2 linked regions of the Drosophila melanogaster genome follow. The protein of the gene in region 2 purifies or fractionates together with the protein of the main gene of each other region. This does not show direct contact. Each region holds a gene or a part of one and is shown on either strand. Other genes may lie near its edges.

Region 1 (7,894 bases), on a different chromosome or scaffold from region 2:
ACGGTGCAGTTGCTTTGGGTTGTTCCTATGCGAAGAATTACATCTGCTCGTCTGCTCCTTTTTTTCCTAAATTTGTTCTTCCATCTTTAAAAATCCAGTTAGTTTTTGGTCCCAAATGATCAGACATATGGGGACCACGGAAAGCAGCTGCAACTTCCTAGGTGACTGCTTTAAGTTGCGCTCGGCAATAAGAATGTAATTGGGTACGCCGTGTGTGTCTACGAGGACCTTTTGCATTTTGTAGTTAATGCTTATAACGTGGCCCGACTCCAGAGTAACTACGTTCATCATATGCTGAAATATTTCAATGACCACAGCTCGCATGTATATGCCCTGCTTGTTGTGAACATATCGTTTGAAGTACAAGTTACCAGAGTCCTCTCCGGCCTTTTTCGCATTGTACTTGCGCTCATTCGCTAATTTCGTTAAGGTGTGCAAATCATCTGGGGTACGTTTAGGCGGTGTACAATATTTAAGTGCGGCCGCCAAAAGTCTAGAGTGGAGGAAATTTTAAGTACGGGAGGCGAACTTCCAAGGTAAGTGACAGTTACCGGTGCACCAAAATATCAGGATACCGACGGATTGGGCTAGTAAAGTGAGTGTATATGGGTATGGACAAGGCGTAGTGCCACAGGTCAGCCGGTTCCGATTTACCCTCGCTACAAAAATATCTAAAGGGGGGAAATTGTGGGAAGAGTAATTATTTGAAAACTGAGACACTCACGTTGCACGGGCCATTGGTTTCATCAAAAGCTGACTTAGGCAGGCATTCATTGCGACAGGATTGGGCGCCTCATTGCACAACCGCACCATGCTCTCCTGGAGCGCCTTAGACGAGCTATAGTCCAATTCGAATCCCAGAGCAAGCAGCTTTTCCCTTAAAGCCTTAAGGGACTTAATAAGTGGCGGAGGGTGGTTACGCAGTACAGCGATATCCGGAAAGGAGTCGTGTATAAAGCGGGCGACTGCCTGGTTGGCCAGGAGCATAAACTCTTCAATCAGCCGGTTAGCCTCTCGCTGTTTCTCCACTTCAAAAGACAACGGCTCGCCAGTAATTGGATCGAGCAGGAAGCGTAGCTTGGCATTGTTAATTGTGAGTGCGCCATTGTCTAAACGTGTCTTACGGATGGAGCTTGCAATGTCGTGCAGCCATAGCACCCTATTTCTGATATCATCGGGATTAAATCCATTCAGGATGGTCGGAAAGTCGTTCTCGGTAAACCGTTCATTAGGGTTGTCGATGATCTTTTGAGCGTGTTCATAAGCAAATTGCGAGCAAGAGTTAATGACTGTGCGGCAAAATTCTGGCTTCTTTTGCAGCATGACTCCCTTCCCGTTCATCCGCCAGAAGACGGAAAAAGCAAACTTGTCTTGCCCAGGGAGCAGGGAACATCGCATGCATAGAGACTGAGGCAGCATGTGGATTACCTCGTTGGCTAAATAAATAGACGTAGAGCGTTCCTTCACTATGTTATCCAGTTCATTGTCCTCTATCAGGAAGTGCGAAACATCGGATATATGGACGCCAATCTCATATTCGTTGTCGCCTAGCTTCTCTATAGAAACGGCGTCATCCAAATCGCGAGCAGTCATCGGATCTATAGTAAATATGCACATCTTTCTTAAGTCTTTTCGTTGACGCAGATCCTCTTGGCTTATCGGAGGTGGCGGCTGGGAGTAAATGTCGATAAATCGTTGCTCAAATGGCTTTATATCCCGGAGACCGTTATGAAACAGAATTGCCTTAAGTTCGTCATCCAAATTACCCACGCGGCCAACCGGCTGGATTAGTTCAGCGATGCAGTGCCCATTGCAATCTGTCTCGAGTATATGGGCAAGGTATAAGAGGCCGGACACGTCTATTTGCTGCTTGTTTCCGATGTGGGCGGCACAGGCATCCTTCGGAACGTAGACCATGGGGACACGCAAATCGTACGGTCGGAATTTGTAGAATAGCTGGTCGTCACAGAGTTTGGTTGGGTTCGTAAACGATATGGTTCCCACGATCTGGCGGAGCTCAGTTCGTTTAGTTATTGCTATGACGAACGCTTTAGGGCAGTTGTCCGACGATATCACGACCACGTTGTCGGTATCGGACTCAGAGCCCTGGGACTCGGTATCGTCCGAAAGCTCCTCACCATCCGCTTTATAGGATATTATCATCAGTCGAAAGTATTATAAGTTTGCCGATAAACTTACCAAGAGATAATGAGGGCTTCCCACCAGAGATTTCACCAGACGAGGGCTCAGCTGTCTTTGAACTACCCTGAGCACCAGGGTTTAGCACGAATGCACGTACTTTGTCACCATCGAAGGCATAGCGCCTAGCCACTGGCAAGAGCACGATGCCATCTCGTTCGAGTGCTTCTCGATCAGTGGACATGATTATAAAGGCCTGTCTGTTGTTCTTGCGGTTAACCCGGATTTCCTCTTCTACAATGCGCCCATAACCCGCCGCAACTAGTCTCTGCGCATGCGCTTCCAGGTCGGAGAAGTTACCTTTGAAAATCAAGTCTTCCGACAACTGGTGATCCATACCCACGTGACGTTGGACAATCTTGTTTATGTACGACCGCATGGCCTCTAGTTCGGTTTTTTGCGATTGGGTCCCATTGCTACCGGATCCATCGTTTTTCTTGCTATTGCGTTGCCTTCGTCCTAGTTTCGGTTGCTGCTGTACATGACTTCCATTGTTTGTAGCAGAGACCTCAGAATCGTGGCGATGCCGCCCCTGGTAACCAACCTGTTGCGGATGTGCTTCTGACCTGGTCTGACTCCACTCGAGCTGAGAAAGGATCTCGTTTTTACGTATCAGCTGGCAGGCATACGCGTTAACATCTGGGGAGAGGTGTGAAAGATGTTTGACCATATCCTGAAGAGCTTCCACCTCATTTCGAAGAGCCCGCTTCGACTTCTTTTTCGCTATTAACCGATGGCTGGGACTAGACACGACGTGCAAATGCGAAAGTGGCTGAAGGCAGGGAATCTGCATGGTCGCCTGGTAGGAGGCGAATGCTACGTGGTAGGGCAATTGCATAGCTACCGGCGCTGGCGTGGATACTGGCACACCGTAAGGAATGGCCTGCCTGCTGTTGCTCCGAGCAGATGGTTGGGATTGGTTGGGATGTGGCCGTGGTTCCGCCCAGCGCATTAGTGGCTGCAGCGGAATAACGGCATTGTTGGCCGATAGGTCTTTGCTGGATGCATTAGACTCCATTTCCCTCTGCATCTGCTGGAGGCGGGCAGCAAGGCGTTGTGAGCGCTGTCGGAGGCCCTCAATCCTTCTGCAATCTCGGTCCGCATCCACGTTGACGCTTGACGTTTCCGACATTCTGCAAGAAGTGCACTTAGTTAATGGGATTCGCTGATGTCCGAAAGTGTACGGCACTACACTTGGCTATGGGCGGGATATAAAGGGTAAGGCATAATTCAATACTTTCTCCAAATTAAAATGATAGGACAAGTACAGTAGGACCGTACTGCGTGGTATGTCGGAGCAGTGTCAGCTTCGGCCACACTCCGATACGCTAGTTCGGAAATTAGTGGAGATGAATGACGGTAAGTTGTTTTTGTTTATTTTCGCATTTGGGAATAGATATTTAAACTGATCTTCCAGAAGAAATCATAAAGCAGCGCCTGCTGATTGACGGGGATGGAACTGGAGAGGATCGGAGAATAGTAGTGTTGCTGAAACAGTTCTTGAAGTGGGCCAGTGACTCGCTGGACAGCAAGTAAGAAATTGGATATGTGTGTATTCAAAACATGGTGTACATATCTCCTCTTTTCCGAATTACAGTCCCATCATGTACGACCGACTGATGGCCCAATTCGCCCAGTGCAAGCTCACTGCGTTAAAGAATGTACAAACTCTGCAGATGATCGCCGGTGAGCGTGACAACTACACACAACTAGTTGAACACCACGAAGAAAGTATTGTTTTGGCTAAAGCGGAAATCGAATCCAGTAAAAAAGAGCTAATCACTGCCAAGCAGATTCGCAAGAACAAGATGGAGTACGACCTGCTGGCCTCGCTCATCCAGGACCAACCGGACCGCAGTGAAACACAGCGACATATTGAGACCATTAGGAGGGAGATTGACGACTTGGTGCAAAAGAAGCTAAAGATGGAGCGCAAGTTTCAGAAACGACGCAATGACTTCACTTTGCTGATGTACACGATTCACGAGCTGGAACAGCAGCTGGACCAGGACAGCTCATCCTCGGCATCCTCCTCGTCCAGCGATTGCGATGCCCGCTCTGAGCCGGACCTAGACGACAATGGGATCATGGAGGTAAGCGATGAAGACGACGATCTCAACAATAGCACTCCCACAAAGTTCGACGGAGCCCGCGGCGAGCCCAAATATCACTCAGTCTCTACTGAGGACTCTAAAGCCATGTCCGTAGAAGAGGACACGGTGCTTGAGCTAAGCATCGACAAAGATGAGCACGACGTGGATGTAGCTGTTGCCAATTAGGTTAGAAGCGCTAGCATGTACAATAAAAACAAAAAAATAAAATGTCATGAACTATAATATACAAATTCAACTGTTGTTTCGAAATTCCTTCGTTTTTATTTCCAATTTAGACTTGCGCCAAAGACGATATTTAAGGGTTATAAAATTTAATTTTAATATATTTTTATTTTACTTGCATATATACTAGAAATAATTCCGAAATCCCAGGAGGTATTTTTAAAACGTATTTACTTTTGTCCGGCGTGCAGTCACACTAAAAAAGCTACGAAGAGGAAGAATACAATAAGAGGAAAATTACAAGTTTCATTAGCCATCTGCAGAATTACCGCACACCTTATGAACGCACAGTGTGCGCGCATCTGCAGTTTACATTGTTAAACAATCAAATAATGGCTGACGACAAAAGGTAGGTTAATTTTACTAAGCCGACCGCACGTGTGTGTATTGACCTGGGCTGCTCCCCTCTTGTACCGAATAGCTACGACTCCAGCAACAACAGCGAGACCGAAGAGCGTCGGGCCAAGCACAAAAAGGCTAAAAAGCACAAAAAACATAAAAAATCCTCGACTGGCAAGACCGAGAAGGACAGGCATGTCCACAAGAAGCAGAAGAAGGCAAAAAAGCGCCCCCACCGAACAAGCGAATCCACAAACGAATCGGACGCCCCGGAAAACGCAAAGTTAAAGCTATCACAAAATTGCGGGCTGAGCAGCAAGTTCACAGAAATCATGCAGAAGGCCAGCCGGAATGGAGCCGATTTCCGTGTCGGCAAACCCCTGCTTCCGACGGATCCGAGCAGCCTTGTTGAAGAAATCACCAAAACTATTCAGAATAAGATGCTGCCTGTCCTGGAGGTGGCCAGTTCAAGCAGCGAAAGCGATGTGTAAGTATTGTGGAATAAAATAGGGGAGCGATTTCGTAATTCATATGGTGTTCGCACTTATCTTTCTTGATTTTAGGCCCGCCGATGCCGCCAGTCCTATTATTTTGTCTATTATTGAAGACGAGCTTAATTTGGAGGAATTGATGCGGCAGAAGGCCCTTCTGCAGGCGCGCCTGGGCGCCTATATGTCGGATCCCGAGGCTGAGGATAAGGGCGATCTCCTCCCACACACACACTCGCAGCAGCTGGTTGTCCACACCAAATCAGTGCTCAAAGCTGTCACATCCGTACCGCAGCCCCAACCCAGCAAGTCTGCAGCGCCGTTGGCTACTGCAACCAGTAAACATGCTAATATTAAAAAGTCTACCACGCATAACTCAAATGAATCCGATGTTATATTGTTGGATGATTCTAGCGGAGGCCAGCGAACCCCCTCGCCTACACCCGAGAAACGAAGGCGCCACGCATCCCCGCTCCCAGCGGCTCCGAGAAGCCGTTGCCGTAGGGATCGTCGTTCGAGGGATCGCGACCGTTCACCCCCACGTCGGCGAGCATCAGATCAGCAGACCCAGGTTCGCCCGCGGAGCCGCAACCGCAACATGGAGGACCTACGACAGGAAATAAATCGCGACAAGCAAAGGGAAAGACGGGACCATAGTCGAGACCGGGATCGGCGAGGATTGGATAGGCCGCCGCCACCCACTGATATGAGACCAGGTCGTGCACGGGAGCGAGACGTTCGGCCGAGTCGTATGCAGCGGTCGCACAGCCGCAGTAAGTTTGAATCAGACAGGCGACGAGAGCGGGAGCGGCAAAAGGACCGGGATCGTGGTGGCGGGCGCGTAGGAGCTCGCAGCGGGACAGACAACGGGGATAGAGATCGGTACAAGGGTTCGCTGAGCGAGGGGCAAAATAAGCTCGACAAGGAGAGCAGTGATGAGGAGGTGAACGTAAACATTGACATTTTGGAGGAAGATGACGAAGAACGTATCATTGAGCTACGTAGAAAGAAGCGCGAGGAGCTACTCAAGGTAGGGAAACATTTTGTTTTTAATATTTGTTAGTGTAAACTTATTGTTTTTCTCCTATAACTGTAATCAGAAGCTGGGCACTGGGCAAGAATCGCCAGCGCCTCATAACTCGGTCTCGTACGAGTCTCGGAGTACCTCACAAGGGTCATCCCAACGCGAAAGACCTTTAAGAACGCCGTCGCCCACGATGCCGTGCCCGAATCCACTTATCTCGGAAATTCCAAAGGATCGCGAAGATATGGATAACTCGACTAGCCAAAAGACTTGCTCCGCGAAGGAAAAACGAAACGAGTGGGATATGTTCGCTGACCAAGACGTGGACTCTAATTTCGATGTGAGTCGCAAAATTGTAAATTTCAAACTCAAATTCTTCATTCCATTTATTAATTCCGAGTTCAAATCCCACCAGTCACCCAACACAATCGTCCAAAATAAGCATCAACACGAAAATCCCGCTCTCACAGACAATTGGGACGACGCTGAAGGTTATTACCGAGTTCGTATCGGTGAAGTTTTGGACAATCGCTACCTAGTGAATGGATACACAGGCCAGGGTGTCTTCAGCAACGTAGTGCGTGGCAGAGACCAAGCTCGTGGGCAAGCTAATGTAGCCATTAAGATCATACGGAACAACGAAATAATGTATGTATTTTGTAATTTTTTGTATTTGTATGCCTATTTATGCCGTTTGTTTCTTTTATTAGGCACAAAACTGGCTTGCGGGAACTAGAAATATTAAAAAAGCTGAACGATGCCGATCCAGAGGATCGTTTCCACTGCCTGCGACTGTATCGTCACTTCTTTCACAAGCAGGTAATTCATCGTTTGTACAACTTAGTGTCGACTGAATTGCAATCTTTATATTTCCACTATAGCATCTTTGTATGGTGTTTGAGCCATTAGCAATGAATTTGCGGGAAGTACTTAAAAAGTATGGCAAGAATGTGGGACTCCACATCAAAGCAGTGCGTAGCTACACGCAGCAGCTATTCTTAGCGCTCAAATTGTTAAAAAAGACGGGCATTTTGCATGCTGACATTAAGCCGGATAACATTTTGGTAAACGAAAATAATCTGATACTAAAATTGTGTGATTTTGGTTCTGCTTCGGCAATCAGCGACAACGAAATAACACCGTACTTGGTATCGCGGTTCTACCGTTCGCCTGAGATAATTTTGGGTATTCCCTATGACTACGGAATCGACACCTGGTCTGCGGGCTGCACAATTTATGAGTTATACACGGGAAAGATTCTGTTTAGCGGGAAAAGTAACAATCAGATGCTTAAGTTTTTCATGGACGTAAAAGGCAAGATACCAAACCGAATTATCAGAAAAGGTCAGTTTAGAGAGCAGCATTTTGACCAAAGCTGCAACTTTCTCTACCATGAAATAGATAAGCTCACTGAGAGGGTAAGTGTTTTTGGGATAAAGTGAGAATCTAATGCCAATTTTGTATATCCACAGGAAAAAATTGTTGTAATGCCTGTAGTCAAACCTTCG
Region 2 (8,441 bases):
CCCTCAAGCCGATCGGCACTCTGCCCTCGCCACCCGCCCAAACAAAATCTCGCCCGCAGCCCCCAATGCAGCGTCTCGTCAAGGGCGTGGCCGACTTGACCATGCGGGATGCACCAAATGCACCAGGCAGGAGGATCACTAGTGACAGCAATAACAATAAGTTCGCCACGCCCCGCGGGACTTTGAATCGCAACCTTAAGCCCGTGGTCACCCGCAAGACACCGCCGGCCCAGGAGACCACGCTCCACCAACGTTCTCCCGCGCCACAACGCAGTCCCAAGATTCAGGCGACCCAACGAGTAAGTGGAGGAACCGGTGCTGCCCCGACAGCCGGTCGTCTTTCGCCACCATTTGTTCGACGGGTAAGTAGCATCGACGTGGCACGGAGGTGTCAGTCTCAAGCTAAACATATTTGGGATTTATTTTAAATGTCTGTTTCCAACAAGGCGGAACCCAAATCACCAGTTAAAAAGGTCAACATGGTGAGTATAGCAGAATAATTGTCGGCAGTGGGCGTATAATAAGATTACCCTTCGCTACCAGGACACAACGACTGCAATCCCAGAGGGCACCGCTTTATGCCGCTACTGCGGACGCCACTTCAACACGGATCGTCTGGCGAAGCACGAGGAGGTGTGCCAGCGCATGCTGACCACCAAACGCAAGATATTCGATGCCTCCAAGCAGCGGATCGAGGGCACCGAGGCCGCGGCGTTCAATATGAAGTCGAAGGGCAATCGCAACCGTTCAACTTACAGTAGTGCTGCCCAGCAGAAGGGTCTGACCACTGGAGTGAAGAAGAACAACTGGCGTAAGAAGCACGAGGACTTCATTCAGTCGATTAGAGCGGCCAAGCAGGTGAAGGCGCACTTGGCGCGCGGCGGCAAGTTGAGCGACCTGCCACCACCGCCACCTTCGGAGAATCCAGACTATGTCCAGTGTCCCCACTGTGGTCGCCGATTCAACGAACAGGCTGCGGAGCGTCATATCCCCAAGTGCGTTAACATGGTGCACAACAAGCCCCGTAACGGTCCGCCGGCCAAGAGGCGTTGAGTGGTGATTGGGAATAGATATTCGCCCATTCTTTTACTTGTGATAAAGAAGTTTTATGATTGAAACGAAATTATAATAACTAGGGTGGGATCGGCATGGGGATGATGCTAATCAGAGAGCACCTCATCGTCGTTACCGGAGGCAGAAGGCGGCAGTGGATCCAGATTTTTCGCGCTCAATAATCGCCTTCACCGCTTCGGCGGCCTTATTCATCTCCAATCCCTCTAGCATGTACGCCCAGTTTTCCAGGGTGGCGTCGTCGTCATCGGATATCCAGTTTGTCAGCATCTTAACGCAGGCCACGTTCGCCGTAGGATGCTCCATTTGAAAGAAGAGAAGTTCATCGTTGGTGAAGCCAATCTTCTTTCCCACCTTCATCCATGGCTCGCCTATAAGGGGCGCCACCTCTTCGATATGCTCTTTGGTAACCATAAGGGGTTTCTCGTGCGCCGGTACCTCATCCACCTCTTCCACCACAGGTTCGTTGTCCTCTACTTCAAGATCCTGCTCTGGTTCACCGTCCTGAAGGGCGACCGTAGCATCCTGCTCGCCCTCCGTATGAACGTTGTTGACCGACAGGCCAAAATTGTTCTCAGAAGAGTTGTTCGATAAAAGGGCAGCAGGTTTGGGCTCTTTGTCCCGGATGAGACGTTTGCGCACTTGCTCAAGATAATCGGAGATCTTGCTCGATGGCTGAGAGAGCGACGTAAAGAAGTGCGGTGTTTGGCGGGCAAGCAAGCGCAGAGCTCGCCACTCAAAAGCGGGATCAACCTTTTCGTGCGGCGTTTCTAAATATGTCTCCAGCAGCGGTAGGAAGTTTCGCTGTTCACTTTTGCAGGCCTGCAAGTTATCTGGAGAGTAGTTCCACAAACGTGTTAGGTTGTCACTGGAAGTGAAATATTTTAGAACTGGCTTAGTTTGACTTACGTTCGATACTTACTTTCCCAAATAAAACTTGCCGCTGCGGGAAGCATCGCGCAGTGCATCGCCCAATGGACGGCGCGGTCTTTTATTGGGAGTTGGCTTCGAGTCCTCTTCGCTGAGAGTTGGTTCCTCGGGCTTCTTGAATTCCTTGCAGCCTTCGTTCTTCCAGTTGTTCCACATCTCTTCGCGGGCCAGCATGTGATACACTGTCCGTGAAAACCGCTTACCGTACGGTGGTGTCTCCTCTAGCAACTTATAAACACGCGACTCTGTTTCCTTGATAAAGTCCGCCTGGTCTGCAGTCAAGGTTTGAGTATCACTGAAAGTACAATCATTAAAGTTTGTTCGTTTTCCCTGGACTTTCTTCATATTCGAACCTTTTAAACTTTACACTGACTTGCAGGTACTGAAATAGAATTAGAAACTGCACCAGAACAGCACGTCGAAAATTAGCGTCGGAGAGCTGCAGAGCCAAAAGCTTGGGATTGGTTAGAAACTTGGCGAAGAAGTGATTCGCCTTGATGACGGAAGACACCGCCGTGGTGTCTACTGCCTCCTCGTCCACATCCATTGCTTGGTCAGTACCGCTCGCATTTTCGTTGCTACTTTGGCGCACGTCTTCCAGCTTGAAGCTCGAGAAGGACTGTAGTATGTTGTCAGCGTGCTGGAAGGGGAAAGTAACAATATATGAATATGAACCAACATGGGGCAGGATTATTAATAACCAATATTTATGAGCAAGCTAGCTGGCAAACATCTTTGATCTCTTTCCAAGATATATATATATTCTACAATTGTAATTGTGCCAAGCCACTGCTTACCATCTGGAACATCTTCCACTGCGGCTTATTGTAACACTGGTTGGGATTTCGGAAAAAGTCCTGCAGCGACCAAAACTTGCAGTACAGGTCGTAGTCGATCTTTAGGGGGATGTCCTCAGCGGTATCCTCCAGCTCCTTGTTGTCGCTTTCGTCGTGGTCTTTGCTGTCCAGACCGTACTCCGTAAAGTTGTCCAGGTTGAATTCGGAGACGATGTTGAGGCCAGACCGCTCCGAAAAGGGAAAGAACTTTGAGAGGAAAAGCTGGATGCGGCCACAGAAGACGGTGTTCTGGGTGCGCGAAAGTCGACGCAGCAGGTCGTTGCACATGCGTAGAATGTTGTTCTTGCATGAGGAAAAGAAGATCTCCTCCTTCCACACCTCCACCATATCCTCGACAAACTGAAATATCTTCTGGCACTTGTCCAGAGTGACCACGTCGAAGGTGTCGATCAGCAGAACCACGGGTATGGTGTTGGACACAATCTCGGCCCGCGTGGCTTCCACGGAGAGGCGTACAAGCTCTCCAATGCGACTCACATCTTCGTCCAGCCGCTTCATCAGGAGCACGCGGAACGCGTGGTCCATGGGTAAGCGCTTGTCGTGCTCGGTGTTGGCCGGGAATCTATTGTACTCCTTGACCAACAGCTCCACTTTGCCGTCGGTGATGGCCAATTCAAGGGCTTTCTGAAAATTATTATTTTCTATCAGATCGGAACATTGCCGGTTTCGGGGCCATTCATCAACGTTTTACCTCAAACGCCGACTGTAGCGCAAAGTAGTTGGCCAACTTCTCCGGAGCCGTGTTAGCCACTTCTACGGCGGTGCTCATATTGATTTAAATAATATTTTTGGCGACAACAGATAAAAACAATAAACTAATTTGTTTTTTCAATCAAAACATCACGAGTGCTGCCAACTCGTTTTGGTTAGTATATAATGCGCCGCTATAGTACTTTAAAGACCAAAAAATCGATGACAAATCGATTATAATTTTTTTTAGGCGCCTGTAAGTTAGTTTTTTTAAAAAAGTGTTTTTTTTTTTTTGTTAGCAAAATTTGTCCTTTTGCACCACATAAACCTGTTTTTGAAACACCAATTAGGTAATGAGGGTTTTTAGGTCCTATTCCTTAGAACATAATACTCTGTTTGTAAGCTTTTTTTTTCTTATTGACCCGAAAGACTTTTAAAAAAGCAACTACATAATATTTTTGTTAAATTGGTAACAAATATAATGAAAAAATATATTATTTTATTCTTCACTGCGATAAATAAAAATTGCATTTTAAATGCATTTCTCAAAATCGAATTTTTCTTATTAAACGTCAAAAACCACACATTGAATAAACTTTCATCATACATCAATTTAAAGGCCGAATGGTTTGTAGATAACGATAGCATTGAGCTGGGGCACGCGAACACTCCCGCTATCAGCTATTCCGACAATCACGCATAGATTTCAGATTCCAATTACTTTCCCACTGTGTGCGAGGTCGCACAAGCTTCATAAGTGCGCCAGGCGTATACAATGAGAATCGGGTACGGCTTTATTCCAAATCTTAAGCTCAGGCGAAGTGGCCATGCGCAAGTCGATTATATACATTCTGCTGTGGATTCTGGGGCTAAGCAGATTCTGCAGCAGCTCTGTGCTTAAAGAATTTTTTCCCGACTACAACTACCACAGGCCTTCTTGGTTCCAGTTCTATCCTGACTATTACAACAGAGGTTATTCCCAGCCACAGCCAGAAAGGCCTGCAAAATCGGCGCGGTCATACAAGGACATCTGCAGGTTGGTCAACACCAACGGATTCACAAACCCCGGAGGAGTGCCTAGGTGCCCTTACTAACTTGCTTAACATTTTTATCTACATATACAACACTCATATATTCTAAATAAAAATAAATTGCATTTACCATACTATACTAGGCTGTACCAAAGACACTAGAATAACAAGATGCGTAACGGCCATACATTGGTTTGGCACTATGCAGCCACTTTTTTGGTGACGGCCAAAATTACTCTCTTTCCGCTCACTCCCGCTTAGAGCGTAAGAAATCTAAAAATATAATTTGCTTGCTTGTGTGAGTAAAAACAAGAGACGAGAACGCGTATAAGTGTGCGTGTTGTGCTAGAAGACGATTTTCGGGCCGAAATCAATTCTGATCGAAGAAACGAATTTACATGGTACATATTAGGGTAGTTTTTGCCAATTTCCTAGCAATATGATAAAATAAAAAATTTTTAAAAATTCGCGCCCTGGCTATTATAATTTTAAAGCTTTTTTAAATTTCTTTGTTAAAATCGCCGCTCGAATTAGCTACCGTTTACACATTTGTATTTATGTTTAATTCTAATTTGTCTCTCATCTGACAATTTTTTAAAACCGAAATATTTTTTTTGAAACACTTTTAATGTTAATGTTACATCATATTAAGTCAAATGATTTAATAAATATACTAAATAATTAAATATGCAATTAAATTAAATTGCAAAAGTAATATCAAAGACAATAGAATTATTCTAGTGTCTTTGCTTTGTTCATATCTTGAGGCACGAAGTGCGGACACAAGCACTCAACAATCATTGCCTTATTAATTTTTCACACGCCGCAAGATGAATACTCTAATGACAAATATTCTTATATAAATTCATTTTTGAAATTTATTTTTGTGATAATATGTACATAGATTTGACTATTTCTAATCTATTTTCAAATAATAATAACGTTAAGGCAATGCAAAACAAGAATTTTTCGCATGGTGCCAATTGATAAAAAATAATATAGATTTAAAGCCAAAGAACTTCTAAGGTGAAGGGCATATTTTGTCAAATTTACAATGCATGTGAATACGTGTGCACACATACAGATGTCTGCTATCACTTTGTGCGTTGAAAAGAGCTGTTCGCTGTAGCGCTCTTCGCTCTCTCGCTCTCTAACAAAAATTCGAGAGAGCCTGGAGCCACCTCTAGAGCCACGGCCAAAAAATCGTGTGCCAAAAAATCGTATGGCGTTACGCATCTTGTTATTCTAGGGTCTTTGGCTGTACCACGTTTACAACTTAGGCAAATCACTAAATAATATAAATATAGGAGCTGTGCTTACAAGGTATGGTCATGTGCTAAGCTTAATCTAGCTATACCTAGACAACAGAAGCGACAACCTTAAGCTATTTTGGGAACGGGTTTTGTCCATTTGTGGAGTCTTAGAAGAGTCGCTTTTGGACGATGTAAAAGACACAGGCGAGGAACAAGGAGAAGGCGAAGAAGAGCAGCATTTTGTCAGTGCACTCGCGTCGTCCGTACTTTTTGAGCAGCTTGCCGGACATGCTAATGCTGCCGGCCGTGTGGTGCAGTTCGTCGCTGGTGGCCTCCACATTTTGCGACGAGGCCACGAGCGTTTCCAGGGTGATGGCGCTCTTCTGGGTGGTCTCCGAGAGGTGCCGCGATATAGCCAGCATCTTCTCGGTCACGTCGTTCTCCTGCGAAACCAGACTGCCCTGGTTGTGCCGCGCCCGTGTTGTGGTTCGTTGGCGTAGCTCACTCTCGCCGGTAATGGCCATTAACTCCTCCCGATTGGCCTTCTCGATCTCCAGCATCGTGGACACGTTTGCTTTTCGGAACGCCTGCAGCGTTTTGGAGAACTGATCACGGTGGTCGTCCACTTCATTGGCCAGCGCAGAGTCTGCCGTGTCCCGCGCCCAGTCGTCCAGCCGCTCGATGCTTTTGCGGATAGCAGACAGTTTGGAGCGGCCCGCTTCGTTCAGCTCCTCGAGTTCGGCGATGGAGGTGCGGCTGTTCAGGATGTCCTAAAAACAGAAGCTCGGTAATGAGGGTTTCTCTTCAGATAGCGGAGACTTACGTGTATTATTGCCTTAGCCTGCAGATTGTTATCGATAAGGTCCTGCCGTATGGCCTGTAATGTAAACGCATCCTTGTCCATGTCTCCAACTTTGTTTTGTTTCGAAAATATTCTATTATTCTGCTTTGGTGACGTGCATTTAACGTTAATTCCCGCAATTTTCTAACACTACCACGGCACGGTATATATCGATGGCATTTAATCGCCTAAAAAATATCGTTTACATAGTGATGGTATGGTTTTGTAATGTCGACATATTTATATACATTTCTTATAATTATTTTGTTATCAAAGAATTTCGCCGAAACGGAAATTTTATTTTTAATAAATTATTGATTTTTATTGAATTACAAGTGTCATTCTAAACAGCATTGTATAATACCGCAAAAATCGATAGTCGATCTTAAATCCTTGTTCCCGAATGTCCGTAAAGTGTCATCTTTAAAATAACCGAATGGTCGCGTGAAAGGAGGAAACTATTTTGCACATTTCAATCTGCACTAAAGCACATGTATATCTGGGTTCACCTGCTTTTGTCTTTACTACGAAATCATTTCACAAGTTTCCTGGTCATTTGTTGCTCGAACAATGTCAGATTCGACTATTTTCCGTTTTGTAAGTATACCCTGGACTTTAAACTAGTTAATTCCGATTTATGATTGATTTATTTAGTAGAACTCATCCATTCTTGATCAGTCAGCGGACAGCAACGTATCCAGTTCGAGCTCCAATTCCAGTGTATCCGACTCTTCTGTGGACTCCCATTCATCCATAGAATCCAATTCGGGACACAATACATCCGTGGAATCTCAGTCATCCGCGGAATCTGATTCATCCGCTGATTCCCATTCGTCCTTGGAACGCCCATCCCCAGTGGAGCGTGATTTATCTGTGGAATCAGACTCATCTTCAGCCACCAATACCAGCGAATCTTCAGTCGGAGAAGCTTCAAACCAACTGCAGTCACCGCAAAGCAATAACCCCTTAAATATGGCTAACTTGTCTGTCTCGACTGAAGATGCTCATTCGCAGATCAGATCACTTACCCAGGATGTGATCCAGATGGAAGCAGAGTTGGATCGCAGTATGTCACTCCATAATCATTACGAAGTTTTCTGTTAATTGTTTCATATTTCAGTGAATCGCTACTGCGAGGAAGTTGTGGCACAGATTGACACCTTCGCCACGAGAACCTCAACGCCAACAACTCGTAGAATTCGCCGCAGAAGTAAGTGCAGATCAAAATGAACGCATCTGGGTTTCACAATGAACAATGTTTTTAATTCCACAATAACCAATGACATAGTTCTTTCTATAACCCTGCCGGGTTACTTACTTTTGAAGGCAAAATTTATCTATATTTTTTAAAATTTTGTGAAAACCAGATAGCTTTCGCGGATAGAGCTAGCAATAAACCGAATACCGTTTCTTACTTTTTCCGTAGCGAGTCCAGTAGAAGTGATAGATCTGTCCCATTTGGACCGTGCACCACCTGTTCGATCCGCTCGGAATCGTGATCCCGATGCTTTCATCGATCTATGCACCCCCGAAGGCCCAAGAAGTCGCACAGTGAATCTTCACTCCAACGACTCCCTCACCATTCTGCCACGTCGGTCAGCCGAAAATGACCCGGTAGTGGATCTCGACGTTGCGTCGCCACCAAAACGCGTTAATCGCGACATTGATGAGTCCCAAAAAGAGGAGTTATACAAGTGCCCCATCTGCATGGACAGTGTATCGAAGCGCGAGCCAGTGTCAACCAAATGTGGACACGTCTTCTGCCGCG

Evidence for each region. The genes of interacting proteins can lie anywhere in the genome.
Region 1: the proteins of Hpr1 (region 2) and thoc7 purify together in Drosophila melanogaster (affinity purification with mass spectrometry, with the first as the bait; 2 studies listed by BioGRID). This does not show direct contact.

Annotation. Positions count from the first base shown.
Region 1 is NT_037436.4:208,282-216,175, reverse strand, and holds thoc7 (thoc7), read left to right. Parts: upstream 1-3,488; coding exon 3,489-3,558; intron 3,559-3,616; coding exon 3,617-3,731; intron 3,732-3,796; coding exon 3,797-4,478; 3' UTR 4,479-4,540; downstream 4,541-7,894. Other genes in the region: Dis3l2 (Dis3 like 3'-5' exoribonuclease 2), read right to left, coding at 67-493, 552-671, 725-2,144, 2,200-3,332, 3,392-3,426; Prp4k (Pre-mRNA processing factor 4 kinase), read left to right, coding at 4,868-4,884, 4,957-5,361, 5,438-6,392, 6,463-6,741, 6,802-7,034, 7,097-7,205, 7,268-7,804, 7,859-7,894. UniProt on the Drosophila melanogaster protein: The THO complex is required for cell proliferation and for proper export of heat-shock mRNAs under heat stress.
Region 2 is NT_033777.3:5,817,706-5,826,146, forward strand, and holds Hpr1 (Hpr1), read right to left. Parts: upstream 3,736-8,441; 5' UTR 3,628-3,735; coding exon 3,550-3,627; intron 3,483-3,549; coding exon 2,799-3,482; intron 2,642-2,798; coding exon 2,355-2,641; intron 2,297-2,354; coding exon 1,994-2,296; intron 1,940-1,993; coding exon 1,186-1,939; 3' UTR 1,089-1,185; downstream 1-1,088. Other genes in the region: CG42675 (uncharacterized protein), read left to right, coding at 1-362, 447-482, 544-1,053; CG46303 (uncharacterized protein), read left to right, coding at 4,376-4,642; Sec20 (secretory 20), read right to left, coding at 6,000-6,602, 6,656-6,736; dgrn (degringolade), read left to right, coding at 7,244-7,270, 7,331-7,739, 7,794-7,883, 8,100-8,441.